3 linked regions of the Astyanax mexicanus genome follow. The protein of the gene in region 1 binds, or shares a complex with, the protein of each later gene. Links are inferred from orthologs where the notes say so. Each region holds a gene or a part of one and is shown on either strand. Other genes may lie near its edges. The genes, in order: hjv, gdf5 and bmp2a.

What was found.
Region 2: the proteins of hjv (region 1) and gdf5 are in contact, whole or in part, in a crystal structure (PDB 6Z3L), measured with the Homo sapiens proteins. The link is inferred for Astyanax mexicanus from reciprocal best matches to the Homo sapiens genes HJV and GDF5. Residues at the interface, in NP_001366281.1 of Homo sapiens: Arg95, Arg98, Gly99, Leu101, His104, Ser105, His108; in NP_000548.2 of Homo sapiens: Met412, Trp414, Trp417, Phe478, Asp480, Ser481, Lys488, Tyr490, Met493.
Region 3: the proteins of hjv (region 1) and bmp2a are in contact, whole or in part, in a crystal structure (PDB 4UI1), measured with the Homo sapiens proteins. The link is inferred for Astyanax mexicanus from reciprocal best matches to the Homo sapiens genes HJV and BMP2. Residues at the interface, in NP_001366281.1 of Homo sapiens: Leu40, Asn43, Tyr46, Val47, Tyr86, Leu101, Ala102, Ser105, Ala106, His108, Gly109, Ile110, Asp112, Leu113; in NP_001191.1 of Homo sapiens: Phe331, Pro332, Ala334, Asp335, Leu337, Asn341, Ile344, Val345, Leu348, Ser351, Val352.

What each region holds. Positions count from the first base shown.
Region 1 is NC_064413.1:41,791,573-41,802,512, forward strand, and holds the start of hjv (hemojuvelin), read left to right. Parts: upstream 1-3,278; 5' UTR 3,279-3,501; coding exon 3,502-3,593; intron 3,594-9,225; coding exon 9,226-9,401; intron 9,402-10,940. UniProt on the Homo sapiens protein: Acts as a bone morphogenetic protein (BMP) coreceptor. Through enhancement of BMP signaling regulates hepcidin (HAMP) expression and regulates iron homeostasis.
Region 2 is NC_064412.1:43,765,971-43,776,910, forward strand, and holds the start of gdf5 (growth/differentiation factor 5), read left to right. Parts: upstream 1-4,039; 5' UTR 4,040-4,404; coding exon 4,405-4,801; intron 4,802-10,295; coding exon 10,296-10,940. UniProt on the Homo sapiens protein: Growth factor involved in bone and cartilage formation. During cartilage development regulates differentiation of chondrogenic tissue through two pathways.
Region 3 is NC_064421.1:16,600,741-16,611,680, forward strand, and holds bmp2a (bone morphogenetic protein 2), read right to left. Parts: upstream 7,092-10,940; 5' UTR 6,195-7,091; coding exon 5,843-6,194; intron 3,284-5,842; coding exon 2,418-3,283; 3' UTR 511-2,417; downstream 1-510. Other genes in the region: gdf3 (protein DVR-1), read right to left, coding at 8,393-9,213, 10,326-10,596. UniProt on the Homo sapiens protein: Growth factor of the TGF-beta superfamily that plays essential roles in many developmental processes, including cardiogenesis, neurogenesis, and osteogenesis. Induces cartilage and bone formation.

The sequences.
Region 1 (10,940 bases):
TGAGGTAGGGAGGGAGAGGGTGAGGTAGGGAGGGAGAGAGAGAGAGCTGTAGAAGAGGAGGGGTGAACGGGAAAAAATAGCTATAATGTAGTGTACCAACAAAATAATTCATGAAGTGTGTCAAATAGTAGCACATCAGTGCTGAGTTCACATGGTTTTACTAATTGATGGATGGATGGATGGATGGATAGATGGAGTAGTGGGATCAAGTGAGTGAGTGGGTGGGGTGTATGTATGGATGGAGAGATAGATGGATGGTCAAATATGTCTGATTTAACACGGAGCAACAACAAATATGTCATTTGTTAATACCTATACTGATTATCTGGTTAAAGTAAACAGTGTAGTTCTTAGTTCAGTTGAAATCAGACTGCGGTTCAGTTTCAGTCTTGGTGTGATTCATTTGGACACCTTAATCTGACTCAAAGGTATACTAAAACAACTGCACCAAGACCACTGAGAGAAGATGGGGTCCATCAGATCTCAAACAAACTCAGGAGCAGTTTATACAATACCAGTCAAAAGTTTGGACACACCCCTTCTAATTAAATGATTTTCTTTCTTTATTTTCTACATTGCATTTCATATATACATATATAAAGTATTGAAGATAATTAAACTCTGAAGGAATACAATATGGTAGTATGTAGTAAACATAACATGGAATGGTCCTCTGACGTAAAGACGTTCTCAGAGATGCTGTGTACTTGTTGATTTTTTTTCCCTTCACACTGCATTCCAACTTCATCTAGATTTTGAACTAGGTTTAGGTTTAGGTGATTGTAGAGGCCATAAACCTTTTTTTTGTCTATCACATAATTCCATATGTGTTTCTTCATAGTTTTGATGTCTTTAGTAATAAACTACAGTGTAGAAAATAGAAAATTGATTAAAAAAAAACATTAAATGATAAGGTGTGTCCAAACGTGACTTGTATTATGGATGTATGGATGTATGGATGATATGCATGTTAATGTATTTTTGGATTATCAATGAAACTGAGCTAAAATAATATACAATATATTGACAAACCTCCATTTATAAAAAAAAAACAACACTAAAAAAGATTTTACTGTTATTTACAAATTTATATATTTAAAATAACTGATTTTTTTTGTTAATAACTGTTAAAATTCCATGTGTCCTGGATTGCCCATTTCATGTCTGTTTATATCTTGACCCAAATGAGTCCCACTCTCTTCCACCTGTGTACCACAGCAGCCTTAGGAACAAACTACGGAGGTTAGGGTTGGGTGCTGGTGTAGGTTTCTTAGGTTATGTTTAGGAGTAGGTTATGGATGTTAAATTTAGATTTAAATGGAAATCACAGAAATTAGGATTAATGTAGCTGTAAATTAAAGAGCTGTAGTTTGGTGTTAGATGTAGGTTACTGAGGTTTTAGTTTCAGGTTAGTGTTATAAGCATTTTTTATGAGCAGTTGTAGGGTAAAGGTTCAGTTGGAGTTATGCTATAGTTATATAGATTAGGCTAAGTTAGATTTAAATAAGGATAGGGTCGATTTAGCATTACTTTGTTACAACAATACAACAATAATAGGTGGTTCTCAGTAAAACAGACATTTGTGTAGGTGGAGGGCATTTGAGCTGTGTATGTGATGTAATTATCACTAACAGTAAGAGGCACTTTAAATCACTTTTTGCTAGATCTGATATTAGAATGTTCATGATAATGCAGTAAACACACTACAGGGCTGGATTTGTTCTGGTAAATAACTTTGGAGAGTCTGTGAATATTAAACAGATTTTCATGGATGTATGAATGTTAACTGTACTGCACAATACGTTCAGTTCAAAACACAAAGGTCATTATCAGAATACAGGGTCTCAAAACCTAAAAACAATGATTTAACTACTTACAATTATATACATATATTTATATTAAGGCTTTAGACTACACAAAAATATTTTTTCCACAGCTTAATCTCTTTTTATATTTATTTATATTTTAATTCTTGGCCTGGTTCTGTTTTAAAGATATGTTTTAATTTTCTAAAACAATTTTAATTACCATGATTTTACTACAATAAAATAAACAGCTAAAGCTTTATCTCAGCAAAGAGGTATAGAGACAATGTGATATAATATTAATATTATCAGTTGCTAAACATTATTCATGCATTCAGTCCCTTAAAAAAGAAACATTAAATTTATGAAAAACAATAGAACATTCCACTGGTTATTTTAATTACTTAATATTGCATATTAATATAATATTAATGATCTCAAAATAATGACTTAATATTGCAAAAGAAAGACCTGTTATCACAAATAAATGTTAGTATTTCAAAATAATGATTTTACATCTCAAGACATAATATCTGAAATTAATAACAATATCTCAGAATAAAGTCTTGCAAGATAACTATATAGCATTTAAAAATATTGCAAAAGAAAGACCTGGTATCACAAATGAATATTAGTATTTCAAAATAAAGATGATCATGAAAATAGCAACTTAGTATCTCAAAATAGTTAGATCACAAATAGCAGCTTTTATATCTGAAAATAATTAGATTGCATCTCAAAATAACAACTTAGTATCTCAAAATAATGACGTAATATTGCAAAAGAAAGACGTGCTATCACAAATGAATGTTAGATATACCATCAAAATAGCAACTTAGTATCTCAAAATAGCTAGATCACATCTCAAAATAACGACTCTCAAAGTAATGAGATAACATCTCAAAATGAATTAGTATTTCAAAATAAAGATAAAGCATCTCAAAATAGCAACTTAATATCTCAAAACAGATCACATCTCAAAATAACGACTTTGTATCTCAAAGTAATGAGATAAAATAAAGATATACTGTAGCATCTCAAAATAGCAACTAAGTATCTCCAAATAATTTGATTGCATCTTAAAATAATGACTTTGTATCTCAAAATAATGATTTAGTATCTCAAAATAATGAGATAGTATCTCAAAAGAGAAAAAAACTAATGGTGCTGGATTTGTTTTAATTAGTGGAAATGGGTTTCTATAGGTAAACACACACTTCTCACACTAAACTGAGACTTTTCTCAAGTGTAGGAAAACAGACACACGTGCTGCACAGACTGAGAATGGTAGCCTCGCTGCTGCTGCTGCGCGTGGAGCAGTCAGGTGAGTCTGAATACCTGTTTTATTCACCGAATCACTGCTTTAAGATAATACAGGTCATTAACAAACACTCAGCCCCCCTGTGAGTCGGGAGGGGGTCTGCAACAGCTCGAGCTGCTGCTGCTGCTCTGGTTAAAATAGCCCTCGCGAGCCCTGCTCTGCTCTGCTAGCTGTTCCTCTGCGCGCAGCTGTCGCGCGCGTGGCAGGTGCGCACTGCGCGTGAGGAAACCTCACACATACACACATACTTACAAACACTCATTCCCACACACACACTAACTCACACAGATACACACACACACTAGCACTGCTCTACTTACTCTCTCTCTCACACACACACACACACACACACACACATATACACACTCAGTTTGCATGCGTACAGGTGAAGAGCAGAACCAGTGCGTTGGTGGATATGAAGGGTTCCAAACTGGTGTAACGGAGCGAACAGTTCACCATTACCAGAGGTAAGTTCTGAACTGCTGATACTGGTGTAGTCAGTCTTCCATACTGGCGCGTGACTGCTGGAAACTGGGGCTTGTTTGGACCAGGTGCACTCTTAAAAATAAAAGTTCGACAAATGTCTATTTAGATTTTATATAGAAGACGCATAATTGCTTATATAAAGAAAAAAACATGTTTAAAATATGTTACAGACATTTGGATGTCTAAAAAACCTGTCTATCATAAATATTCCACACCATAAATGGCAGAAATGAGACTTTTAATATAGTTATTTAAAATTTGTAGGTGTAGTCATAAAAATAAAAATAAAAATAAAAATAAAAATCTATATTTTAAATATATACACAGCTCAGGCATAACATTTTGACCTCTTCCTTGTTTCTACACCTATAATTAATTTGTTCAACTCTTTGTAGTTCTATAAGAGTGTAAATTGTAGTTCTTATATTTCTACTTTCTACTTAATTGTCCTCCTTTTCATCCAGATCTTCAAATGGTCAGGACCACACAGAACCACCACAGACCAGCTATTTTTTGGGTGGTGGATCATTCTCAGCACTGACCTGGTAAAAGTGGGTTGTTCTGACATGAGTGGATCAGATACAGCAGTGCTGCTAAAGTTTTTAAACACCTCAGTGTCACTTCTGGACTGGGATAAGAATGAAGAACCTTTAGTAAAGAACATTTAAATCAATTAAAGATTCTTTAGAAATTTAAATAGAACAACAATGTCTGTAACAGTGATGTGTAAGTGTAAAGAACCTGTGTGTTTGGAAATAACTTTTACATCAAGCAAAAACCATTCATATTAGTTAACATTGGTAAAACATATCCTCTACATGAAGAGAAGGGTCTTTAGACCTTTAAAATGTTCCTTACACACACACACAGATCTACTACAGGTGTTTAATGGAGATGACAAATATCTCTGTGTCTGTTAGGACAGTGTGTATTTCTGTGCACTAATCTAAGATCAGACCTCATCTGCCAATGCTGTGATGTTGTGTGTTGTTTATAAAATTCAGCCTGAGCCAAGAACAGTATTTTTTATTGTATGAAGTTTGTATAAAAAGTGGTGTATAAAACAGGCCCAAAACCCTTAACATACCTTAAATGCGATGATAAAAAAATAGTAGACATACTCCCCTCATTTGAGATGACAGTGAGCTAGCTGTGGGCCCTAGTGGAACTGTGTTGATTTCTAATGTTAAGAAACCATTTATTTTCATCACATTATAATTTTAGCTTCAGCTGGATATCCATTATGGCATGCAAATATATACAGCAGGGGAGCTTCCAGATGTGCGTGTATGTGTGTTTTAACTTTGTAGGACAACCAGAGACAAAGAGGACCATACTATATCAGCACCAGCAAATTTAACTTAATTTTGGGATGTGCTGTTTACATAAAAAAGGTTTTATTTGTACATTTTAAAACAATTTATTTTTGTTTGATTTTAAAGATTGGGTGTAGGCATAAACAACAATATATACATTTCATATGGTGCCTGTAATAAACACAATATGTCAATTTTTTTGTGGGCATCCCTTCTAATGAATGCATTCTGCTATTTTAAGTTCCTCCCACTGTTGACACAGGTGGGCAAATGCTTACACATAACTTGCCTAGTAGATTGTAGAGTACCACAAATAGAATGGGACTCTCTGGAGCAGATGAACATAAACTTAATATTGGGTCTAGAGCAATTGTTATTGTTTGCAAAGAGCAATTGGGGCTACAACCTCAATTGTAGTCCTGCACAGACTCTGCCCTGCAAATTATTGTGGTTTCTCTGCTTTAACATGCCCACCGCCATTCTGAAAGCTTTTGTTCATTAACTTATTAGTTAGTTCAGGAGTGTTGGAAGAAGGGAAAGCAATAAAAGTCCAGGGCAGGGTGCCTGTGTTGAGAAACCCTGGGCTAATGGGGTATAAATCCCACTGACATTGAGATGTGGAACTGTGGATCTGTGTTCTCTGGAATGATGGAGCTCCATCCAATACTTTTGGGATGAGTTAGGGAGTTGTGGATGAGGAAGGGTGGTGATTATCCAACATCCTGGTCTACCTAACACTTTTTTGCCTAATGCAATCAAATTCGTACAGCAGTACTCTAGTACAATTGAGTAAAAAACCTTCTTAGACAATAGAGACAGTTACTCAAACAAAAGCAGTATAAACTATTGTATACGCTCACAATGAATATGCAGGGGGTTCAATACTTGTGTCAATAAACTATGTATCGTCACTGACACAAAACACAGGAGAAGAAAAACTTAAAAACAAAACTTACTTATCATAAGTAATTCTGGAGCTTTTCTATTTGTCCATTCATTGTGCAATTTGAAAACAATGTAAAGAACATCTGCTAGATTCACATTATGTTAAAAAATGTAAATGTGTGTGTTTCTGCTATATATGCTACATATGTTAAAATTTAGTTAGTTCTAATGGTTTCCGGAAGGGGTTAATTACAGTAATGTGTGAGTGCATGTGTGTGTGTGTGTGTGTACACCTGTGAATCAGACACTGCTGTGACTAGTAGGGGGAGAAACCCAGTGTTTGTCTGAGAGCATCTATTGTTTACTTTGTTGTTTCAACATCTCAGTGTCGTCTCTGTGTTCTGAAGCTAGCGGTGCTCCTCCCACAATGCTTAGAGTATCTACAGCTATTTTGTGAAAGTACATGCTCCAAAATACACAGCTAAAACATTCTCCACACACACACATCCTAACAAAGTGATGAAAGTGGACAAATGCGAGGTGCACAGGCCATTCACAAGCATTAAGACCCTCCATAGCAGAGAATGTCAGAAATAGCTGGGCCATCCTGCATGTGCAGAGACCCAGTTGAAATTAGATTGCTGGGGGAAGGAGATAGTCCATGTGGGGCAGAATGCTGGAAGCTCTACTGTATTTCCAACACCTGCCTTACCAGCCCTGCATTTCATCCCCAGCTATTTCAGACGGGACAGGGCAGGGCGGGGAAAGGGGAAGGTTTGAGGAGCAGGCCGGCATGGTGGGGGTATATTTAGAGCCCTCTATTTCTGCCCCGTAACTCGTAACTACACCCCTTCCCCCACCCTGTAAACCCCACCCCATTACTACTGTCCCCTCGGCCATCCCATCAACTGGAATAAATGTCATAGCGGGCTCTGTCAGCATTTCAGGAAAGCACTCTGTACATAATCCTTCACAAATGTGCGTCAACGTTTGTGCAGATTCCCTGAAGCTGAATTAGATCCACCCATAAATATATAAGGAATGGAATGTGCCGAGCAGAATCAATGGAAGTGCTCAGTAATGAACATTTCAGCCGTAATATGATATTTGAGACCGTGTACATTTGCCAAAGGATTTCTCTTCTCGTCACTATTTACCCCACTCCACCGTGCTTTTATAGCTATTTCTGAAATAATGTAAACTTAGTTTAGGAATCCACTTCATTTTAGAGCTTCTTGGCCTCAGCATAAATGACAGAGGCTTTCGAGTTAGCTGGCTTCCTCTCAGTGTTTGCTCTCCACTCTGCAAACAACGGAACAGCACCAAGGGTCCAAACTGCACCATGTCCCTTTCAACAAAAGCAACGGCACTCTTAAACCAGAATAGACCAGTGTGGACACTGGTGAAACAACTGGCCTTGTATTTTGGACATTGATAATGACACAGGTGGCCACTGTGAGAGATTGGGATCACAGAGCTATGCACATTTGATTTGGTCTGATTCTGATTTCCACAGTGGAGTCAAGCTCCAATCAAAGTCCACTGAAATGTGGAACATTAGCTCTGGGACATCAAACTCATCAAATGTGTTTATTATCCTTTCTCTGTAAAAAGGCACGCCAAAAGTCTAATTATGGTACGTGGCAGTGGACAAATAGCTATTTTATTAAATGTGAGGTGATAAAACTAAGAGACTAAAATGACCTTACAACCATGGAGTTCAGCAAAAAACAGTAGGTAATTCAGCCTTTTCTCAGGACGTCTGAGAAAAACACATACATGTTCGTTCCAGATAGGAATAAAATCACAGAGTACCCCCCATAAAAGAGAAAATTACCCTAGGACCCCCTGACAAACTAATCCTGTCCAGATGGGGCTTTACTCTAATTCTGGTTTCAGTACTACTACTAAGTTGAAAACCTCAGCATCATTAATGGTTAGACCACTGGGTTGCTGATGAAATGATGATGTTGTGGGTTCAATACCCTGGTGTAGGAAACTGCCTCGGTTGGGTCCTGAGCAGTGTATTTACTGCACAGATGGGTTAAAGGTGGAGATCATATTAAATACTGTTGTCTTGAGAAACATTGTATGACAAAAAGTATTAGATCACCTGCTCATTCATTGTGTTCTCCAAAATCATGGGTATTAAAAAAAAAAAAGAGTTCTTCCTGGTTTTGTTGAAGTAACTGATTGAATTATCAAGAGAAGAATTTCTACTAAAAGGGAAATGAAAGTGGAGCATTGATGTTAAGATTTGATTGCATTCATTCAGCAACAAGAGCCTTATGGAGCTTTTCCACTATGTAGAACCTGAACTATGTGACTCGACTCTCGACTGCTTTTTTTTTTGCTTTTCCATTAGGCAAATTTGGAACCTGGTTCCTGGATATTCATTATATCTGCTTATATGTGGTTCCAGAAACTAAAGCATAAAAGGTGTAATCTTTCTTCAGAGATCATAATTACATTATGTGACTTCAGCATTCTCACTGCTGGGAAGATGACATATTGGCAGTGTTTTGTGACATCATTCATGACATATTGAGAGGTGGGGGTTATGACAGTAGAAAATGAACCAGGTACCATGTACCAAAAAGCCAGTAGATTCAAATTGTGCAGGTGCAATGCAGTACAACTATCCTGACCACCTGACATCATCCAGATTCCCCAACTCATCCCAAAAGTATAGGACTGAGCAGCATCATTTCAGAGTTTTTTTCACAGTTATGAACAGGTCCCCTTTAGCCCATAGTTTCATGTTAATATTCTTTAGGCAACACTTTGCTACAGGGACTTATCAAGCTGAAATGTGCATTTGCACATCTGTGTCAGCAATGGCTCCACCTTAAAGTAGCTGAATGCATTCATTATAGAAGGGCTGTTCACAAACATTTGGACATATGGTCCTTTTTTTTTTTTTACCAATATCTTTTATAATAGCATTATACCCATTACGCTCTGTATGTAAGCCCACACTTATAACTGCATTACTGTCATAATTAACATTTACAAAATAGGACCCTGTGGTATGGCACAAATACAGCTCTGGAAAAAAATAAGGGACCACCTAAAAATTATGAGTTTCTTTGATTTTACCAAATTAAAAACCTCTGGAATATAATCAGTCTGAAAGCTCTGCATCTTTTTTGTTATTTCAGGTCCAAATTATAATATTTCTATTTGGAATTTTAAGAGAAATCTTGTCCGTAGTTTATAGAACAAAACAATGTTTATTTATGTTGCTTTAGAATTAAGAGCTGAATAATAGAACTAGGGGACATCTATTCGAAATCTATTCGTACTGTAGTAATCAAGCTTACTGAAATGAGTCTCTATGGACTTGTAAGTAAAGTACTGATTTCAGTGTTTGTGTTTGCTCTTGTCTCCCTCATGTGGATGCTGGCTGCAGTTCTTCTCAGCACTCTACTCCACCACTACACTGTAAGGAGCTTCAGCAGCCCGCTGAGGCTGTGTGTGTATGGACGGTAATGGGAGAACGGGCCACCTGCACTAACCACACAAAGACCACATGGAGGTGTCATGGTTTCATTGTGCTGTTGTTAGTTCTCCTTACAGCCCCACAAGGTGAGCTTTTTATATCTGTTTATTAGAGGTGGGCGATACCGGGAATTTTGGTATCGATCCGATACCAAGTAAACGCAGGGCCAGTATTGCCGATATCGATACTGATACCGATACTTTTTAATATTTAAGCTTTATAGATCCAAATGATCCAAAAACCTAGGATATAATTTCACCAAACATTGTAAGTGATAAAAAAAATACTTTAGTATCACAATCAACATTTTTTGTTTAGAAACAATGGAACAGTAACAAAACAAAGTTTAAAAATAAAATAAAAAAAATATAAAAAAATAAAATAAAAATTCTCCCCTCACTAGACATCTTTTCTAGTTCTTTGTTTCTTTGTTTCTTTTTTTTTAATAGAATTGTCATTTGGAAAAACAATAAAAAATAAGGAATTGTCTTCCTTTCAGTGCAATTCAAATGCAAGTTTTTCTTAAATAAACAGAGTGTAAAAAAATATCACTCAACACAAATCTCCTGAGGTAGAGGCGTGCGGACTCGAGGAGAGCGCTGAGTGGGTGGGGCCAGGCTGAGCCTACCTGTGTGGCGGTTTGGCTGGCTTTGCTGAGCCATGTGACGCATGTGCAGCAACAAGAGACCAGAGAGTAGACTGTGGTGAATCTCGTGCGAAGCAGTCAGTGCGTGCGGCAGAGAAAAAAGCTTGAATATCGATATTTTTACACGAGTATTGCTCAATACCAATACCAGCATTGGTATCGATATTATCGATATTTGGATCGATCCGCCCACCTCTACTGTTTATAGCTGTTGTTTATAGGAGTTGGTGGTTGGAGGAACATTGTTATATATCTAGACAACTCTTTTAAAAGCTAATGTCCGTAAATTTTAGGATTTGGGGAATTTAGGTCCCTCTCTGGTGAGAACAGGTAATTGAACCGAGCATGCGGAAGAATCATTAAAACTGGGCAGGTGTGATGCGGTCTCCTTTTAGAGCGGATGAATCCGATTCCAGGTTATGTTCAGTCAGAGAGAGGGAGCGCGCTCCGTCAAAACTTTACTTCAACTACACACTCTGTTTTGCTATGGGTGAATGAGCTGCTGAGCTCTGAGTTCCCTCTTCTGAAGTCTCCACTGCTCCACCAGCTGCTCACGTTCAGTAAAACTAAGCCAGATCCTGGTTCAGAGGCTGTACGTGTGACTTAAGTACATAAAGATGAGTGACGTGGCCAAAAGAACTCCTGTGAAAAGCGACCGGCACCCCAGTTTTTATAATGAATATATTAGGCTTAGCAGGGGATGGTTGTTCCAGCACACTGGTTAACACAATATTTTGTCCCTTTCATATGATACGATATGGCACACCCCTAATTGAGATTTTCACCAGATTGAAACAGAAGTCAATGATTCAACATGTCATGATATTAATAATACACTTTATATATCCAGGACTGTAGTAAAATTAATAATAATTGACAGAGATAATCTTTCTCTAGTAGATATTTAATGGGAAAATATAACAGTCTGAATTTTTCTTTTGCTACAAACAACGAAAGTTTGCTACAAAGAAAGTTGGAC
Region 2 (10,940 bases), on another chromosome or scaffold:
TCTACTAACAGAACCACACCAAAGTGCTTCTGTTTTATCCCAATTTAGCTTTGCAGAAGAGGCTGAACCATAAACCTGCAATGCTGTTTCTAGGGACACCACATCTTGCTCATGTCGTATTACTGCAGTAATGTCATCGGCATAGGCAGAAACCTTAATTAAACACTTCTCAATCTGTAAACCAGACAGTCTCTTCCTAAGCAGACAGAGAAGAGGTTCTACTACAAGTGAATACAATTGTCCAGACAGGGGGCAACCTTGCCTTATCCCCCTGCCAACAGGAACAGGAACACTCAGACCACCCCTTACCTTGAGTAAACACACAGCACCCGAATATAACAGCTTAACCCAAGCAATAAAACCATCTCCAAAACCGAAAGCTCTCATGGTAGAAAAAAGATAATCATGATCTACATGATCAAAAGCTTTCTCCTGGTCAAGGGATAAAAAACCAAACTCCGATTTACACACTTTTGCATAGTCAACCATATCACGAAGTAAAAACAAATTATCATAAATAGATCTTTTCAGTACACAGTAAGTCTGATCTTCATGTATTACCCGTTGTAGGACCCCTTTTAACCTGTTTGCTATACAGCGTGATAAAATCTTATAATCAGAACATAGGCCTCCAATTTTTTAAAAAACAGAGATCCCCCTTCTTTGGTAAAAGAGATAAAACAGCCCTCTGACAGCTCATTGGAAGTACACCAGCTTCAAAACTAGCCAGCAAAACTTCAAACAAGTCCTTCCCAATAATTCCCCAAAAAGTCTTATAAAAATCAATTGGTAAACCATCAACACCAGGTGCTCGCCCAGAAGAGAGCTGGTAAACAGCCTTAGTAACCTCCTCAAAAGATAAAGCAGTGTCCAGTTCCTGTTGCTGCTGTCCATCCAGGTGAGGTAGATCCTCATGAAGAGTCTCAATGCACTGCTGATCCGGAGGGCGGGCCGTAAACAACTCAGCATAAAAACCCACAGCCAGCCTCTTCACCTCTACCAAGTCTGTCGTAACTGTCCCATCCTCCTTACGAACAGAGACCAGCGTCTTGTGCTGGGAATTAGACTTTTCAAGATTAAAAAAGAATGCAGTAGGGGCATCCATATCCTGCACAGACACAAACCTGGACCGAACCAAAGCTCCCTTCGCCTTTTTATGTAAAATGTCACTCAGTTCCTGCAGCTTCACAGTAAGTTCTGCCCGTAAATCCACCACATTTTGTTGTATCGTTACATTGTGGATTCTGGTAATGTCCTGCTCCAGCACACCAACTGCACGTCTAAGATTGAAGGTAGAGAAAGCAGTAAACTCCTGGCAAAAGACCCGTATCTGGGCCTTTCCCACTTCCCACCATTGCATAAGACTGTCAAACATATACTTTTTTCCAACCCACTCTGCCCAAAAATGTTTAAAATTTTCACAAAAAACTTTATCTTGCAAAAGTGTCCTGTTAAAATACCACATACAGCTTGTAGGAGACTGAAAAACAAAAGAAAACTCCACAGTACATAAGTGGTGATCAGAAAAAGAAGTGGGCTGAATCATAGACCGGCCTACCATGTTCCTTACACTATTTGAAACATATAATCTGTCTAAGCGTGCCGCAGCCACTCTCTGATCCGTAACTTTAATCCAAGAATACTGTCTGGTCGTGGGATGTTTTTCCCTCCATATATCTATCAAATCAAAAGTTGATATGATGTTTGCCAGAGTACGAGCAGACTGAGGATGAGGCTCCTCACCGTTCCTGTCATGTACAAAATCCAAAGTACAGTTCTAATCCCCACCCAACACAACTGTGTCTTCCGAGGAGAGTGACTGTAACAACTGACACAGTCTATCAAACAGCTCACTTCTATCTGGTCCCCTGTTTGGAGCATACACATTAATAAAAACAAAAACATGATCATAAACCATCGCTTTCAGCATAAGCAAACGCCCAGCCACAACTTCATCAACAGAAAGAACAGACACTATAGAGGACTGGGAGAAAAAAAAACCTACCCCAGCACTAACATTTGAACCATGACTAAGATAAAAATCCCCTTTCCACCATAACCCCCAATCAGACACAGAGTTCTCATCACTATGTGTTTCTTGTAGAAAGCACACATTAAGTTTCTTAAGATTAAAAAATTCAGAAAACACAGCCTGTTTACCCCGGTCTCTAAAACCGTTCACATTTAAAGAGCCTACTTTAAAAACTCCCATACAAATAGAAGTAAGAAATAGAGAGAGAAAGTAAAACCAGAAACAGAGAAAGAGAACAGGAGAAGACTTTTCCCCACGTGATCTGTGCTCAGACCGTTTTGTTTTTTTGCTTTTCTTATAGCAGTAACATGTTTCTTTAGCCGGTAATGATTCCTTCTTGGGAGAATGTCTAGACCCACACTCTTCTGCACCATCAACACTGAACAAACAAACTTGTCCAGATCAGGAAAATAATCACTCACCTCCACAGTTTTTCCTTTAGTCTCATCCAGGAAAGAGTTTATCTGTTCCACAGAGTACAGCTGCTCATAACTGGACTGGCTAGCTCCAAAATCAGTGACCTCAGACATACTGTCCTCCTCCATGTCCTCCTCCAGGGACACAACCGAACCAGACAGAGACTCACTCCGAGCACCCAGCTCACCACTCTCCTGAGCACCCAGCTCACCACTCTCCTGAGCACCCTGCTCACCACTCTCTTGAGCACCCTGCTCACCACTCTCCTGAGCACCCAGCGCACCACTCTCCTGAGCACCCAATGCACCACTCACCTGAGCACCAAACCCACCACTCAACTGAGCACCCACCTCGCCGCTCTCCTGAGCACCCACCTCACCACTCACCTGAGCGCACACCTTACCACTCACCTGAGTGCACACCTTACCACTCACCTGAGTGCACACCTCACCATTCACCTGAGCACCAACCTCACTACTAGCCTGAGCACTCACCTCAGTATTCACGGGAGCACCCGCCTCACCACAATCAGCCTCATTAATACCCTGGCTAACCTGCTGCTGATCAACCCCACTATCTGAAACACCTCTTCCCAAACGCTCACTTACCTTAACTCCACGACCGACCTCCGAAACTAGAGCTGTGGATGAACCCTCACCTGGATCCTCTGGAGCGGCGTCCGCAGCGTCCCGTTCCGGGGCGCTACCGGGTCCGGCTGCAGTAGAATCCCGCCTCTGCTCATTAACCGGGCACTCGAAACGTTTATGCCCGACAGTCCCACACTGAAAACACCGCAGACTGTCCGTGCTGGCGTAAACCAGGTATGAGCCTGCACCATCAGAAACGCGGAAAGAGGCCACGAGCGTCTTATCCGCGCTATTAAGGAACATAAGCACCTGGCGCCTGAAAGACAGGACATGTTTCAGTCCTGACTTCTTGCAGCCCAGCGGTATGTGGCTGATCTCGCCCGCAAACTTGCCAAAGCGACTCAGCTCCTTAGCTATGGGTTCATTGGGCAGGTACGGAGGAACATTTGAAATAGTAACCTTCGTGGCGGGAGTGGACAGAGGAGATACCGACACATAGCTCTCCTTCACCCAAATCCCGCTCTCAACCAGCCCGTTAACCAGTTGTTTATCAGTCAGAAACACCACCACGGCTTTGTTCATGCGCGACGCGGAGTGAATCTGTTCGCAGCCTATTTTTTCACCCACCGCGATCAGTACATCCTCCACTACAGCTTCAACAGGTGGAACACACCTGAAACCATGCGAACGGGAGAGAGCCGGCGTCCCCACCACGCGGCGAGACGCCATCTCTCACCCGCCGCCAATATCCCGTTATATGTAGTGAACAGTGAAACCAGTGAAACTTTAGAGATAAGTTAAATCCTGATAAACAGGGGGAGAAAAAAAAGAGAAACAAACAAAATAAATAAATAAACAGAGAAAAGCACACGCTCACCTCCAACACTCAGCCACCCTCACCCACATTCACTCCGCCCACTCCCAGCATGCAGAGAGAGAGAGAAGAGAGAGAGAGAGAATAAAGGGAGACGCAGAGAGAGAGAAAAAGAGAGAGAGAGACGGGGATAGAGAGATGGGGAGAGAAAGAGAGAGAGGAGAGAGAGAGACGGGGAGAGAAAGAGAGAGAGGAGAGAGAGAGTATAAAGAGAGACGCAGAGAGAGAGAGAGAGAGAGAGAGAGCAGAAGATGTGAAGGAGCAGAGCGAGGACACACACACACAGGCGGGTAAAGTGAGGGAGAGGGTGATGCTCTCTCTCTCTGTATGAGATGTGTGGGGGTCAGTGCGCTGCTCCGGACCCTGCTGCTCTACAGCTGCATCATGTTCCCGCGCAGAGCGGCTCTAAACCCGTGCGCGCGCTTCCTCGGACTCCTTCATGCTGCGCGGCCGCAGCGTGAGAGCGTCCGCGCGCCGACGACCACCACTGCACCATGAGAGCAGCGAGCCGCTTCCCCCCGCCGCTCCTCCTCCTTCTTTTGCTGCTGTTGTGCGCGAACGCCGCACCAGAGCCGCCACGCGCCGGACTCAGACTCTCGCGCATCCGCGCCGGGGCTCTGGCGGCCCTGCGCTCTCCAGCGCACCACCAATCAAACTCGGAGAGCGCGAGACGGAGCGCGGCCGCGCACCAGCCGCAAACGGCGACGCGCAAGACAGCCAAGACCAGGGGCGCGCACGAGGAGAAGAGCGCGCGCGCTCATCCGCTAGTTACACCGCACGACTACATGCTGTCTCTGTACTGGTCCCTGTCCAGCGGCCAGGTGAACACGAGCGCGCTGCACGAGGCCGGGATGGCCAACACCATCACCAGCTTCGTGGACAAAGGGCAAGGTCTGTCTGTCTACATGTCTATCTACATGTCAGTGTTAAATCAACACTGTTAGTTTCAGGAACACATTGATACATTTCTGCTGCTTGTTGGAAAGAGCTTTGTGGAGTATTTATAAAGATCTGAGAAGTTGGAAAAATTTGTGGTGGCCAAACATTTGTATGGCTTTACACGGTCTATTACAGTATAGCCTACAATAATATCAGTTATATAGGGGTTAATATAAATTTTATGTATTCGCACACTCACTGTCCACTGACATGTTTATTTTGTTTTGTTATGTTATTCAGATAATGCAAGCAAGCACACTTATTACCTAGATACACAGTTCTCATACGCTGTTTTCCCATTATCAGCTTATGCCAGGTCATGGTACAGCGCAAACTGGTAAATAGCTGCAGGTTGATAATAGTTGTGTTTAGAGCATGATCAGCTCTGCAGGCTGAGGAGTTCTGGTTTTAATAGATGCTTGAAAGTAAACACTGGCTGGATAATCTTGAATGGAGGTGTTCTCTCCAGCAGTCAGTTCTTACCAAAACATTACTGTATAAATGTACTCAAACACAAAAGTTAAAGGGAATAAAGGTTATAATGCAAAAATATCAATTTAAAAGTATTTGACAGTAAATCACTCAATTTCAGAGTCCCTCCACTGCCGTCAGGGACTTTTCACCTCCACTCTGGCTCCTCACCAAACACCTGTGTCTTGTTATGCTGGTATTATCTCTGTATATATAGGTCCTGTCATTCCCTTTGGACCTGAATTGTTGTGGTTGTTTACCACAATGCCAGACTTTCTCTTGTTAGTGGTTTCCATTGTTTACCGTGTGTTCTTTGTTAAGTTGTCGTGGATTTGTACCCAGCGTGCCTTTGAATATGAGCAAGGCTGTCTTTACCGATTCTGTTCAGCTGTGTGGCCATGTGATGGCCATGACAAATGCAGATGCAAAAATAAAAACAACACACTGCTCTCAGGTCTTCTGCATTAGCAGGAAAGTTTTGGTTTAACTGAGGGTGAATAGTGGGAACCCAGACAGGTTGTATGTTCCACAGTGACAACCTAGTTTACTTTTATTTTTCTAACTAAACATGTATGACTTACTTACAGGCCATATAGGCTGCAGTACTTTTACTTTGTATTTTGGGGCAAAAAAGTAAGTGTTGCTGGGGGAAAAACCTACCCAATTTGAACTAAGCACCACAAATTAAACACTGTTAAATAGTGCTGGGCGATAAAACGATAACGATAGTTATTGAGGAAAATATTTATCGCGATAAATATGATAAGCTGGACGATAGGATTCGATTAACTTTATTTTCTATTTCCCGGTTAAGTAGCGCTGCAAACAGGCGCTGCACGCGATCAGGCAGCGCGCTAAACTGCCTCTGCTCAGCCCAGGTAAAAAAAACTTCCCTCCCCCCATCCCCCCACCCCCACCCCCTCACTCTGAAACTCACACAGCTCATCCACACAGCGTCGCCTCTCCCGTTTACTCCATAAATATCATTTATACGATAAATTCAGCTGAGCTACCATGGAACACTCAACTTCTAAATATGTGGCATGGAGTCTCCTCACCAAGATATTTAGAGAGGTCATCATTAGCTAAGGTTCCTTCACTGCTTTTTACATTCTAATAAACTAATGGGTAACGCACGTTAGCCGTGTTAATCCACTCTCCGTGTAAATTAACGTTAGCTTCAGCACGAGTGAGGGGTTAGTATATAAACACACAGAGAAGCAGCACTTTCCGTTTTTGTCCTAAACTTGACTTTATTCGTCCCACCTCCATTACAGGTCACTTGCTTTAAAATATTTAAATGTTAGCATAATTTAAATGCAACAAAACTTTTATTTTAATAAACATTAGCAGTAAATAATCTCAAAATAACAACAAATCTAAAATAGAAAAACAGTAAAACATATATAATACATACTTTTTATATGACCAAAATTTATGAGACTAAAACTAGACTAAAATGTGACTAAAACTAATAATATCTGATAGACTAAAATGTAACTACAACTATTATACATTTTAGTCAAAAGACTAAGACTAAACTGTATCAAAATCACCTGTTAAATGAACACTGTGATATACTATTGTATTTTTCTTTATGTAGTTGCCTGCGGACCTGTGTGGATGTATAATGACTTTAAAATTAATTTAAAAGCTGTCTGAGCACCTTGTGCCCACCTGGCAAGATGTGGACATCCTAGTGTCTGTCCACAAGGCTCTGAGCCTGCTAGTAATTTTGGCCATAACGCCCTTATTCTGTCACCTATGAGTATAAAGAAACCTTAAAGTGTAGCAGAAAGTGATTTGATTTATATCGTAATACATATCGATATTGGCAGATATGAAAAACTATATTGTGATAAGATTTTTTTCAATATCGCCCAGCCCTACTGTTAAATATTGTTACTTGAGGAATGAAAAAGCATAAATTATAAACAGGGTTCATAACTTTCTTCTCTGTTGTAAATTACATATTACAACATATGATATATATACATTTACATTTAAGGTATTTAGCAGACGCCCTTATCCAGAGCGACTTACAACAGTGCTTCGATGTTACTTTAAATATTCAAAGTTAGTTTGTAGACTAGGAAATACGCAGAGATACGCAGAGCTTGATCATGTTTAAAACCCTAGGAACCTTTTTTGTTTTTTGGATTAGTTTAGGAACTCTTTGAAAAGATGTGTCTTCAGTCGACGTTTGAAGACCGTGAGTGACTCTGCTGTTCTGACAGCCAGTGGAAGTTAATTCCACCACCTTTGCCTTGTAGGCCAGTGTCAGGGTTTTGAATTTGATGCGGGCGGCAACAGGAAGCCAGTGGAATGAACGCAGCAAAGGAATCACATGACTGAACTTCGGAATATTGAAGACGAGTCGTGCTGCTGCATTCTGAACACTGTGATTTATATATTCTAAGTGAGAAAAGTATCCTACATTAAACTTCGAAATTGCCTATCAAGAGTAATGATGTAAATAATGATGATGATTTCAAAAAGGTTATGTCTACAGGTGAATATAATTATGATTTGAAAACAAAACAAGGAAAAGTTCTTTGAAAAGCAAAGATGAGCAGTAGCTCTCCAGTTTATAACATATGTATGAGAATGTTTAAAAATAATGTTCTTCGAATCGGGAGGAATTTCAGTGTGTAAGGAGTAAGGGCACCTATGAAAGTTACATTCACTAATACCACTTACCACGATACTGCAGAACAGAAACCTTATGTTAATCCAGTCCAGAAGAAGCGTCAACTTTCTGGGCTCTATGGCATCTGGGATAGACCATCACAAAGTAGAAATGAGTATTGTGGTCAGAAAAATCAGTATTGCAGATATTTTTTTGAAAGAAATGAATGCCTTCCACCTGATGCTGGCTGGGATGGGCTCTAGTGCCCAACACCCAAAACCACCCCACCCCCGTGACCCTTACGGATAAAGCGGGAATTGACAATGAATGAATGAATGAATGTCTTATCAGCAAGTCCGAGTGCAGGTCAGTCATGGTATGGGGGTGTGTCAGTTTACTTCTGTGATGCACATTAATGCAGAAATATACGTTGAGATCTTAGAGCCACATATGCTGCCTTTACGACTACATCTGTCCATGAAGTTTTCAACAAGACAATATAAAACCACTTGTGCTGTACACAGGGTGTGAATTATACAATGATAATTGTCAGCTAATGTAGCACATACCACACAATGCTACTGGCTGTTATCTTTCTCGCCATTCAATTTCAATTCATATTCTACAGGATCTCCCCAATAGAAATCATTTGTTATTTAATTCTAAATAAATAGAAAATAAGAATGTAACTAAAAAATTACTGTAGATAAGGATTTTGTCCCATCTCATGCACATATTTTGACACTGGGACTACAATATAAAATGTTAAGGGGAGATATAGGAATGCATTTACATAGCTTGGCTAATGCCTTCAAAAAAACTGGCTATTGTTATTTTTCCTAGTAGCCTAATAAAAAGATAGAAACTAAAAACACCAGTCTTAAACACCAGTTTACTGTAAAACTACTCATCTGAGTAACTAATTCCTCATGAGGTCTACTGCAGCGTATGAAGTTTCTTCTTAAAACACATTAACATTTTTCCTGCATTAAAACAAATTTTCTCTATGTTAAAACACAACTCCCTTTTTAGACTGTAGTTAATAGATGATAAAGTGTTTTAAGAGTTTTACACATTTCTGCTTAGGGTGTTCAGAAATCACAATCAGTTCCTATAAAACAGAACATGGATTCCCATTTGGATGTTCTGTTCCACCTTAAAAAATAGTATCTACAGCTTGAAGCTTGTGTGCAGCCAAGGGCGTAGGAGCGGGTTTGATATTGGGGGGGACACATTTGCCAATATGAACCCAAGTCCACCCTGTAGTTTCCTAGAACAACCTAAATTACTTTAAATTAAAAGTAAATTATTATTATAAGGTGATTTTACAACCTAAACATGTTACTCCACGTTACAGTTACTGTTGTTAGAAAAAATTATGCATGCAATGTCTGAATAATATACATATGACAGAAATGATCAGTTATCAGCTAATATTTAAAATAATATAACAGATTTGGTTATTATTATTATTATTATTATTATTATTATTATTATTATTATTATGTATTGGCATGTCAATTCTGTCATATCTTTACGTTTTTTACGTTTTATTTTTTTTCTACTGAGAGCTCTTCTTAAGATGGTGTCCTTTTATGTAAAAGAATGTAACTTTACGTTTCATAGAGACATGTGGTCACTGTGAACTACAAATGAACAGAAGTCACGTTACAGCTTTGTTTCTTAACCCTGTTCTTACATGTTATACTGCATATTAACACTGTTCTGCATATTCTACAGCTTCCTCTGCTTTAAAGGCATTTAATAGAGTAAGTGGTGGTGTGATGTGTTTAATACACTGCTGATATACATAATGATTAATTTAGGTAAACTCAGTAAATGACTGTTTATTAGCTGATCAGGTGGATCAGGTGGAAAACACTATTTTGGGGCAGTGATCAGGGTTAAGAAACTGCTTTAAACTACAAACATAAAGTACTGCACTAAATTCTGTCTATCCACTACATCTGGCTTCTAGCCAACTAGTTTTAAAATGAAATAGTGATTAGCTGATCAGGTACAGGTCAAGTTGAACATTACATATATAGTTTTTTTTTTCTTTAAAAAATCTAATCTAGCTAATTCCAAAGTTAAGGTAACTCACTAACACAGCTGTAGTTTATTAATCACAGTGGGTTTAATCTGTGTGCTGATTAAGAGACATGTATTTTTAACCAGCTATCAGAAACATATCATCACAGTTTACGTGGTTAGCCTACCGTTACCTTTCTTTTAAAAAAATCTCCGTATATCCAGATCTGTTTTTAAATCAGCTGCTGCTGCATCCCGATCCCGCTGCTAAATCTCACCTGCATTGGTAACCAAGTTGCTTTGTTTCTTTTTCAGATGAGCGTTTGCCCCTATTAAGAAGGCAGAGGTATTACTTCAACATCAGCTCTCTAGAAAAAGAGGGATTACTGGGAGCAGAACTTCACATTCTCCGAAAGGCATTTCTGGACCCTCATAAAGCCCTGCCCTCTGGGGGTGCAACCTCTTTGAGACTATATACCTGTGCGACAGGTAAGCAGAGGGTAACACTGCTTCATTCCAAACCATTTGAGGACCACAGTGTCCCAAAGTGGGAGGTGTTTAACATCTGGAAACTGTTTAAGAACTTCAAGAACATGCCTCAGCTTTGCTTCGAGCTGGAGGCTGTGGACCGAGGGCGACAGTTGGACCTGAGGTCAGTGGGCCTGGGTCGCTCCGGCAGGCAAACCAAAGAGAAAGCCTTCTTTGTGGCGTTCAGCCGCACGAAAAAGCACGGGCTCTTTTACAACGAGATTAAGGCCCGTTCAGGGCATGACAACAAGACGGTGTACGAGTACCTCTTCACCCAGCGCAGGATGCGGAGAGCACCGGTGTCTCGTGCCAAGAAACCACTTGCCAAGAGTCCGAAGCCCCGTTGCAACCGCAAGCAGCTGCACGTCAACTTCAAGGAGATGGGCTGGGACGATTGGATCATTGCCCCTCTGGAGTATGAGGCGTTCCACT
Region 3 (10,940 bases), on another chromosome or scaffold:
ATCGCAAAAATACCCTGAAATATTATGATATTATTTGAGGGCCATTTCACTCAACCTTCAACCCACTCAAATATATATATATTTTTTTAGCAAACAGCCCCTAGCAGTATCACTTAGGCCCAAACTGGGCTATAACACTGCTTAAAGAACCCAATGTAGCACCTTTTTAAAAGTGTATGCTAAGATGTTTAATACCCAGTCAAGAGGAGCATGTTCCATTTTAACAAAAGCAATAATTGAGATACAGAAACGTCCCATATACTTGCTTTTATAACCAATGGGGAAGTGGAGTTGTCTTGTTTTACTAAGTAGAATTTTTTTATTTCGTTTCGTAATATATATATTTTACTTTTATTTTACTGTCAATAAGAAACATTGATGTTCCATAGAGTGAGTCAGCCAAGTATTATTAGCCATCTTTCCTGTGCTCTCTGTAGAATTCAAAACATTCTTCTACATATTTACGTCAACCTTTACTGCCGCTGAGCACCAATAAATCTTGGTAAAGACTCTGGACAAGAGCTGTTTATTATTTTCTCATACATTTTTGACATTTGAGTTCAAGTAAATGAGAAGTGGGAGGTTGCACCAGTTTTCTTGAACAAGTAAAAAAAAAACAAAAAAACAACCAACCATCCAAAAAAGAAAAAAAAAATCAGGACAGATGTTGGGAAATGGTTAAATGCTATAGTGTTTTACCTCCAGCAGCATGAGAATATTTTGGACAAGTAAATGACAAGGAACCTTGCTTCTTTAACAGTGTCCCCCTCCCTTTCAACCCTTGCAAAACCATTCGTGGCATAATCAGGGCATTAAATTAACTCTTCTACCATCTTGTGAACAATATAGATTCATTTAGGGAGACTGGGGAGGCTTTACTAAGACTTCACTATGGCCCAAACACATTTCAAACTTTTGCCCTACCACTTACCCTTTCACTTTGTGCAATCACACCTAGGGGTTTAGGGAGCTCCAATTCTCGTTGGGATAGGGGAGTAGGGTGAAGCATTATGGCTACATTTATTTATTTATGGCCCTCCTGATTTTTCTTCCAAACAATTTGTTACAATAAAAAATCCACAGGCAAGATGGCTGCACAAGTGACCGAAGAGACCCACCAATGTTGTGCTTTCTTTGTTCAAAAATATGATAACCACCCTTTCTTATTAACAAGAATAAACATTGCTAGTATAGTTCAGATACATTTCACATTCCACCTTAAATGATGCAGCAGTTACATTCAGTTACAACTGCGGCTCCTGCATGATTTACGGTGGAACAGGCAAATTATCTGAACAAAAAATAGTGAATGTCTAGCTAACTTCAGCTCCCTATCACAAATGAATAAGGAGTGGCCATAAACAGGTGACAGGGTTGCCTTCAGAGCATCGCTAACAGTTTTGACAACGTATCACAGTGTCCCTTTTCTTAGAGGGAGGATTTCAACACTTAAGAGTGAAAACAAGGGGTTGGTTACAATTGAGAAATGGGATTGGGTCTATAAAGGGGAATGGATTAGCCTTTGGGAAACCCATGCATCAGAATGAGAAGGACATATAGTAACTGTCTGTAAGGCTATTGATAGATTTCATAGGCTCGCACTGTAGACCTCACGCACACCAACAGTTCCAAAGTTCCTGAGCATTCAGTGTCAACTACCTGTCACATTGCTTCTAGATAAGTGCATTCACATTCACCACTGCTTCTCACTGCAGGAAAGGCCCAACTGGAGTGCATGCTTTTGGATTACTCAACTAACTGAACCAATTGGACTGGTTTCCCAGACAGGGATTAAGCCTAGTCGCAGAGCATACAGCACAGTGAATGGGGATTCTCCACTGGAAGAGATACTAGGTCTAGAGTCTAGGACTAGGCTTAATCTCTCTCTGGAAATCCAACCTATTCAGTGCTTCATGTGACACTAAAAAAAATTAAGGCAGATGGGACTGTCACTGAAACGCTTAACATTAGGTTTAAATCTTCATCAACTCACAATACACAAGCCTTGCTTTCCACTCTAGAAATGATAGGAGACACATAAACCAATCTATGGTGGTACGGTGTGTTGTGGATGTTTTACACATCTATATGTATATATATTTTTGCTTTGAGTACACATAAATAGATATATAAACTATTTAAACTATTCCCTAAAAGTGGTTATGCTAGAAATAAATACAAAAACAAAAAATCTGAGCTGTATACTTCATATGCGGAACTGTACTAGTTGAAATGTACATCAGAAAAATACATTAGCTGAACTCCAATTAAAAATATTTATTTTCCCATTAATGGACATAAATATAGCTTTATATACTTTGTTTCCAAAATATGTGTTTTTACTTTAGCATAAATAAAAGTGTAGTACTGGGTCATAAAGTGTCTTCGCAAAAAAAAAAGTCTCTGCTTAAGGTCCATCAGCGGCACCCACAGCCTTCCACCACCATGTCCTGGTAGTTTTTCAGGATCACCCGCTCGTACTCGTCCAGGTAGAGCAGGGACACGGGGCTCAGGTCTGTGGGCACGCAGCAGGCCTTGGGAATGTTTGTGTTCACTGAGTTCACCAGCGTCTGTACTATCGCGTGGTTTGTGGAGTTGAGGTGGTCTGCCAAAGGGAAGGGGCATTCTCCTTGGCAGTAAAAGGCGTGGTAACCTGGAGGAGCCACTATCCAGTCATTCCAGCCCACGTCGCTGAAGTCCACATAGAGGGAATGCCTCCTACAGTTGGCTTTGTGCTTCTTCTTCGGCTTGTTGATCCTCGCTTGCCGCTTCTGCCGGCTGTGGAGCACATGTCCTTTCCCGTCGTGGCTGAACGTCACCAGCAGAGGCCTCATCTGTGGCCACGAGTCCTCGCTGTCATGCAGCGATCTGCTGACTCGGACGTGCTTCTTGTAGTCCCCGTCTGCGTCTTCCGGGTGAACCACTTCCACCACAAAGCCGTGGTTGGCGTGGTCCTCGGCAGTCCACCGCGAGACGGCCGGACTTACGTCAAAGCTCTCCCACTTGCTCAGGCTGTGCTGCACCAACCTGGTGTCTAGGAGTCTCGTAATGGGCTCTTTCAAAGGACGCCCAGGCTTCATGATCTCATAGATGTTAATGCGATGGCGCCCAGCGAGGCTGCTGCTGTTGCTGCTGCTCCTGCTATTGGTGGCCGCCATGACCTGCTCCCTGTAAATCCTCAGCTCGGCTGAAGTGACAAACTCCTCTCCAGGGATGGAGCTCAGATTGAAGAGGAACCTTTGAGTCGTCTTTCTGCCATGACTCAACAGCTGCTCTGTAGATTCTGAAAAATATGGAGGAAAAAGAGATGAAAACAAGTTTAATATTTATTTATCTTATAATGAAGGCCCTACTAAAATAAAACCCAACAGAAAAGATAGAAAGAGAGAGAAATATCACATCATTTTTTGCCTCAAATTATTAAGAAATACATATAAAAATCTGTCTTCATGATACAAAGAAACAAAGAGATACAAGGTGATTTGAGACCCTTCAAGTAATGCACTTAATTACAGGAACTTTGAATATTTGCCAGTTCTTGCAGTGCATCCCAAGTCTGTGTTTACAGTCACAGAGAAAGCGTGACCTCTTGCTAGTGACACTATCTTCATTACAATAACACAAATGCAGCTTGACCTCCCTCTGGACTCCTAATGTTTAATTCCTCCATGTTCCCTGTGTCAAATCCACCAAAACTGGTTCAAAGACATTTCCAAATTGTAATTCCTCAGCTCAAAATGCATTTCTTTTATTCAGAGACTCATATGTAACTATTTTAAGTTGCTATAGTAATTAAATACAATATTAAATATTAAGACAAATGCATTTCTATTGAAAGGCAAATAATATTCACCTGTTTTCAGATTATTTCAGGCAGAAATGTGTTTTAAGGGTAGTCTCATAAGTACATTTCGTTAAATAAACATATCTCTACTATTATCTGATTATTTTACCTACTTTAAGAGGCACAGTTGTATCTAAAGGACTGTGTATCTAAAAAGTTTCAAATTTGAGTGGATTTTAAAACTTTCGTTTTTTACAGTGTGTGTTCTTTTGCGAAGGTTTGCGAAACCTTCAGATGTTTCTGATCAAAACAAATCAAGCTTTTATTTCATTTAGTTCAAAGGCACTTCTGAAAAACAATTCTTAAGCCTTTCTTTTAATTGAAAGACTATATGGATTGTCTAGGTAATACATTTGCAGAAAGTAAAATGAATGCATGGTTTAATGGCAAATATCCACTTGTTTGCAAACTGCTTATTCTTCTTATTACACAGTTATGTTTGAACTGTGCAGTCACTTTAATATTTATTTATGTATATACGTATATATGCCTTATATATAATTTTGTCTTCTATTTATGCATGCTAAAGAACCTGACTGGGCTAAGAATTGGGAAGAGGTGTTCAGAGAGCAGAACAGAACAGAACATTTGTGTTTGTGAGTGGTTGCAGGAATGTGCTGCCCGTGTTCCTTCTCCTGCCCTGTTGGTGTTGGTGGCTGGCTGGCTGGCTACACCTGTTCCTTATTTTCAGTGAGGACACTGCGTTTTCTGCACAACCAAGATTGCGCAAACATCTCCATAAACAAAATGAGTTTTTTCTCTACCTATTTTCTCCCAGGATAAGTAGTAATTTAGATTGGTGTGTTTGTATCTTTACCATGGACCTCGACCTCACTCTACCGCCAACTTAATTTGCTATGTCACATGATTATAGTCCGCAGTGTGAAGAGCTCTCTCTTGTGAGGAATGAAGGTAATGCAATGTGAAAAGCATTATTGCATTTTTAGCAATAAATAAACAATAAAATATGATTTATCTTATAGCTCTACCTCCACCTTAATTTGCTATGTCACATGATCATAGTCTGCAGCATGAAGAGCTCCCTCTGCTGCACAGGTAATGCAGTTTGAGTTTGCATTTTTGCAACTTTTTGGATGTGTTTATCCAAAAAACTTGTATTGCGATAACAATAAAAATACAATTTATCTATTTATACAATTTGTCTCCAGAATAAAGAGATCTCTCTGCTGCATAAACATCTCTGGAAAAAAAATTAAGAGATCACTTGATTTCCTGAATCAGTTTCTCTGATTTTGCTATTTATAGGTATATGTTTGATTAAAATTAACATTGCTGTTTTTTTTTTTCTAAAAACTACAGACAGCATTTCTCCCAAATTCCAAATAAAAATATTGTAATTTACAGCATTTATTTGCAGAAAATGAGAAATGGCTGAAAAAAAAACAAAATAATGCAGAGCTTTCAGACCTCAAACAATGCAAAGAAAACAAGTTCATATTCATAAAGTTTTAAGAGCTCAGAAATCAATATTTGGTGAAATAACCCTGGTTTTTGATCATAGTTTTCATGCATCTTAGCATGTTCTTCTCCACCAGTCTTACACACTGCTTTTGGATAACTATATGCCCCTCCTGGTGCAAAAAGTCAAGCAGTTTAGCTTAATTTGTTGGCTTGTAATCATCCATCTTCCTCTTGATTATATTCCAGAGGTTCTTAATGTGGTAAAATCAAAGAAACTCATCACAAGAGGTCTCTTAATTTTGTCCTGAGCTGTATGTAATGCAATTTGATTTCAATTATTGCAGTTTTGGGGATTTTTGGTTTATCATGGAAACTCATATCATGATAACAATAAAAATATGATTTATCGTACTGCCCTAGTATGCAGCATGTAGAGCTTTCTCTTTTGATGCAATTATTATTTTCGCACTTTTATCTTGATCCCTATGAAAATATAATGTATTGTACTGACCTTGTTTATATTATTAACACTAACGCGATAGTTTTTTTTTTTTTTTTCAATTTCTGCTCGCTTACCATCATGGTGAAAGCTTCTTATGGTGTTCGCGCGGCTGGCGGACTTCTCGGACTCTCTCCCGAGCGCGCGCCTGCTCGCGCCGTGCTTTGGCTCCGCGTTGGCGGAGTACGCAGTGAACAGGTCCAGCATGTAGCGCGGAACCACGGCGGACCTGCTGGGGGTGGGCCTCTGCTTGAGGCCGAAGAGGCTGAGGAGTCGCGCCTCGAAGGTGCTGAGGGTGTCCTGCGACAAGGGCGCAGCGTATCTCCTGCGGCCCGGCTCGGGCACGAGCCCCGCGGAGCCCCCGAGACGCGCGTAAGCCAGTAGCAGCAGCAGGAGGGGCAGCGCGCGGCGCAGCGCGGCGGAGCGCATGGTCACCCAGCGCCCGGTCGGTCAAGACCTGGGGGCTGGTGGCGCTTAATCACACGGGCACGGGCAGAGGCGCGCGTCCACTTGGCGTCTCCGGTACCACTTAGCCATGTCCGTCACTGTGGGTCCTCCTCCTCCTTTATGTCCTTCTTCTTATTATTCTTCTTCTAGCTTCTAAAGTTGGACCTCATCCTGCTCACGTCTGCTGGACGTTAACACGCAAGCGTATCGTAGACGGTTGGGACCCTAAGTCATAGTCCCAGATAAAGAACTGGAGAACCTCCTCAGCAGGTTCTAACCAAGCACTCGCAGTCTGTCCATCAGTAGAGGAAGATAAGATGTAGAAGCCTCCACTGAAGAATCAATCCAGATTGTACCAGAAGTTGTAGTCTACCTTCACCACCTTGTCCAATCGAGTCCAACTGTGTTTTGAGACCTTGAGTGCTGTGGTGGGTGTATGCAGTATGCGCGCGTAAACGTGTGTGCGTACGCGCGTGCCCTAACTACGTGCACGCACTGCTAGCTCCAGAGGAGAAAGTCCAGCAGAAGAACTCCAAACTCTTCAGAACTCAGCTGCCCAGCACCAGTAATTGGCTACTTCCTTTCAAATCATTGCTGGTTCCATCTCAGGGTCCTCCATCCAAAACATCCATCTCTGAGAGCTTCCCAAACGCATGGACCTCCTGAAGTCAAGTCAGAAGAGCAGCAGAAGGTCTGGTTTTCCTCCTATAGACAGATAGAGAGAGAAAGAGAGAGCTTGGTGGAGTCTGGTGTGCGCACTGTTCTCACTGACACTCTCTCTCCTTCTCTTCCTCTCTCCTTCTGCCCATGTGGCTTTTAGTGGCTCAGTGATGTCACGAATGAACACAGCGAGCAAAGAAGAAAAGAAGGAAGAAAAAAAAAAAAAAGAAAAGAAAATCAAACACCACCCTATCCATGCTGTCAAATAAGGATTAATAATGGTGTGGTGCTCGGGTTCCCAGTGGTTGAAACGGTACAGGTACATCCAACACATGAGATGACTGATGAAATTCCCTCCTCTCCCTTCATGATCCATTATCTCTCCTAAAAAGAAGCAAAAAAATACAGCTTACATATAAAGCCTTAGGATCATAAAATCCACCCTACCTTAAATACAGCAGAATTCAGCCAGAAATATTTATTTTTACTAACTCAATTGCTGCTGTGTTCCACTACAATAGACCAAATCTGGTTATAGAGCACCAACCAGTGGAGGGAATTGAGAAGTACATCTCCCACACCAGCACAGCACCACTGCAGGGTTCTTTAATCCTGGTCCTGGAGGGCCAGTGATCATTTTGGTCTCCTTAATCCTCAAGCCTCAAAATACTGCAAACCTCAGTTTCTCAATTATTCATCTTCGGTCCAAATGTTGAGGATTCCCAACAGAAACGGCCCTCAGCTTTTTTCTTTCTGTTGGCAGAGGTGGCCAAGTCTCATACTTAAGTACATAAAATTGAATATTTGTACTTTTATGTATGCAAGTAAAAATAGTAGAAGTATGATTTGTATTACTCAAGTAAAAAGCATGTCTTTAAACAGGGGCCTCTAATTTTTTTTATTCCCTTTTTATTAAAAATGAGAATAAATGTATACACACTTTGAGCTCAATTGAATTAAATTAAACAATTAAAAATACTAAAGTTCACTATTTTTCTATTTTGCTCTTTTAAAAATGTACTCCACCCACTTAAAATTAACAAACAATCCTCTCCTGTTTAACTGTGTTGGTGTTTAGGTATTTACTGGTGGTAAATATAGTTTATTCAGAAAACTTTTGACAGTGTTGACAGTCATTGTTGTCCTTATAGATTTGAAAACACCACGAGTGATTGAACTGTACTGGTATACTTGTAAACTGAGACTTTTCAGGGGCCATACCAACAGCAGTGCACACAGTAAGAGGCCTAAATGCATGTATAAAAGCAGCAATTTAAAATAAATTAATTAATAAATCAAACATGCAATCTCTGTAAAACTTGTCAAAAACAATTTAAGTTTTTTTTTTATTTTGTTATTTGCCACCTTTGCTTATTGGACTGACTGAACCTTGGATTTAAATTAACAAATGTCTAAAAATGGGATGAAGAATCTGAAACAAGGTAGGTTATTTTTTGTTTAAAAAAAGGCAAGTTTTTATTATTTTCCATTCGTAAAATACAAACAAACAAAAATGTAGCTCATCTGCAGCCGCATTCATCCACCACCATGTCCTCATAATGCCTGAGGACAACATTGTCATTATTGTCATAGTAAAGCATTGAAATAGGAGACAGTTTGACCGGGACGCAGCAGGGCTGAGGCGTCCCCTTTGGGTCAAAGGAGTGGACCAGGGTCTGCAGAATGGCGTGGTTAGTCCCATTCAGACTCTCACTAAGTGGAAAAGGACACTCTCCATGGCAGTAGTTGGCCACATAGCCCTGGGGCGCGATGATCCAGTCCTGCCAGCCGACGTCTCTGAAGTCGATGTAGAGGCGCCTGGGCTTGCACACATTGCTGGGGCTCACAGGCACATAGTAGGCACTTCTCTTCTTCCTCGATCTACACTGGTAAGGGTTCAGAGACACAACCACCAGTGACGTGACCAGTTCAGGGACCCCCACAAAACTAGAGTCATAGTCCACTGGGTCCAGCTGGTTGTCTAGCCGAGTAGACTGCAGAACAAGCACCAGCCCAAAGTTCTTGCCTGGCTTCCTCCACCATTCAGCCAGGTCGGTCAGGTTGAAGTGGACGGTAGTGCTGTGTGTGTAATGAACAGACTGGGAGAGCAGCAGTCTGCGGCTAGAGTCATGGCTCATGCCTTTCAGTGAGGTCCTCAAGACCTTGTAGAGGTGCATGCTGAAAGTATGCTGACCAACCTGGTGGGACAAGTGGGAAAGGTCTGGCTTGAACTTCAGCTCAAGCTGGGCAAAAGAAAGCTGCTCCACATCCTCCAGAACAGACATGTTGAAAAAAAGATGCTTCTCCACACCGTGGCTGATTGAGTCAGAAATGAGTCTACCTGTTGAGAAAGATAACAGATCATGTTCAATATTTATTCAATAAATAAATATAAAAATAAATAAATAAACAAACACCAATAATTTATATCATGTTACACAGGTAGGCAAATGCAAAGTATATGGATTCTGCTTAAAGACTCTTAACCCAGCAGGATGTGGTTGGCTAGCTAGGTGATCAAACCAATTCTCCCTGCTACACTAGGGATTGTAGCAAATATTGAGACTCCAGGTTCAAACTAATTTAAAATCCTGTATTTCTCAGAATATTTACTGACCAACAGTGGAAAAACAAACTAAAAACAATACAATGTTCCTATGCCTTTTTATCTTTGCTATTCTTTTTATAATGTATGATAAATGATACAAATACCAGTAATCATGCACATGTTTCATATATAAAAAAAAGTTTAAAACAAAACAAGAATGATTAAACTTGCATACATCTGTAAATAAAATCATTTTAGCAATATTTGATGACCTATTCAAGAAGTAAACCAATTAGAGGAGCAACTGACTAAGAACTATACACATATATAAAGAACTAGACTAATAGAAATTGACTAAGAATTTAAAATAAATAAATAAAATTATATATATATATTTTATTATAAAAAAAATAATAAAATAACTTGATTTAAAACATACATATATCCACACACACACTCCGCATAGCAAAGCAGCCGGCGCCAGAAGGCAGGCTATGCAGAGCTTAAGCTATGGTTATAGGATGTAAACAGTGCTTTTTAATAAGCTTCTTGTCTACTTTTTAAGTTATTAATGCCTCGTTTTAAATGTCAGGGCTCTCCGGATTCTAGCAATAAGTTGTGGAGCTTCTTTGAGCCATGATAACGGTGGAAAAAGCGATTTATTGTGGAAGATTTTGCCCCGTGTCACCCAGTCTGAAGGGTGTTTGGACAAATTGTTAATTTCTGGATCTCGGAGCGCTGTGGGAGAGCAGAGGTGTGCTATTCATCAATGTTAAGTACTTTTTATCATGTTTTACTAAACCAAAAGTCCATTTTACACCGGAGTTCTCCTTTAATGATGGGTTAATGGGGCACAGGGAGGTTTGTGGTGAGAACAGGGGCAGGGGCAGGGGCAGGAAGCTCACCTTGGTCCAGGACATATCTGACGATGTTGCCCCTCACTCCGTACTCCGGCACCGTGCACGGATCCGGGTCAGTATCCGGTCGCTTCTCGTCGGTTTTCTTGAAGATCCTCCACAGTAGTGAGGGCACAGGACCCCGAGCTGACGGCCTCGGCCGACTGGAAAGACCCAGAGAACTTAAAAACAGCTGCTCCTGAACCTGCACGTCCTCCGTGCTGTCAATAAGTCCAAACGAGCAGAAACACGACAGAAATAAAAGCCTAAAAACCGCCATAGTGAGCAGATACTGAACAGAGAACGCTAACGAGTCTGCCGGCTGCAGGCGTCCAGATTAATCATTTAAAAAGTGCGCCTGCGTGCGGTCTGACGTTTGATTGGCCGAGACAACGAAGGCGCGACGATTAGACAAGGAATAAATTGAATTGTTGTGCAAATTAGGAGCGTTTGAAGGTACGTGTGAACGGAGCTAAAAAAATCCAATTAGCCCATCACTTCCAGTTTGCTTTGACAGGGACAGACAGAGTAAAGGTCTAATTAGTTTATCCTTTTTATTTTTTTACCTTGGCTACCTTTATTCTTTGGCTTTACCTTTATTCTTGGTTTCATTGTGAGAACTGA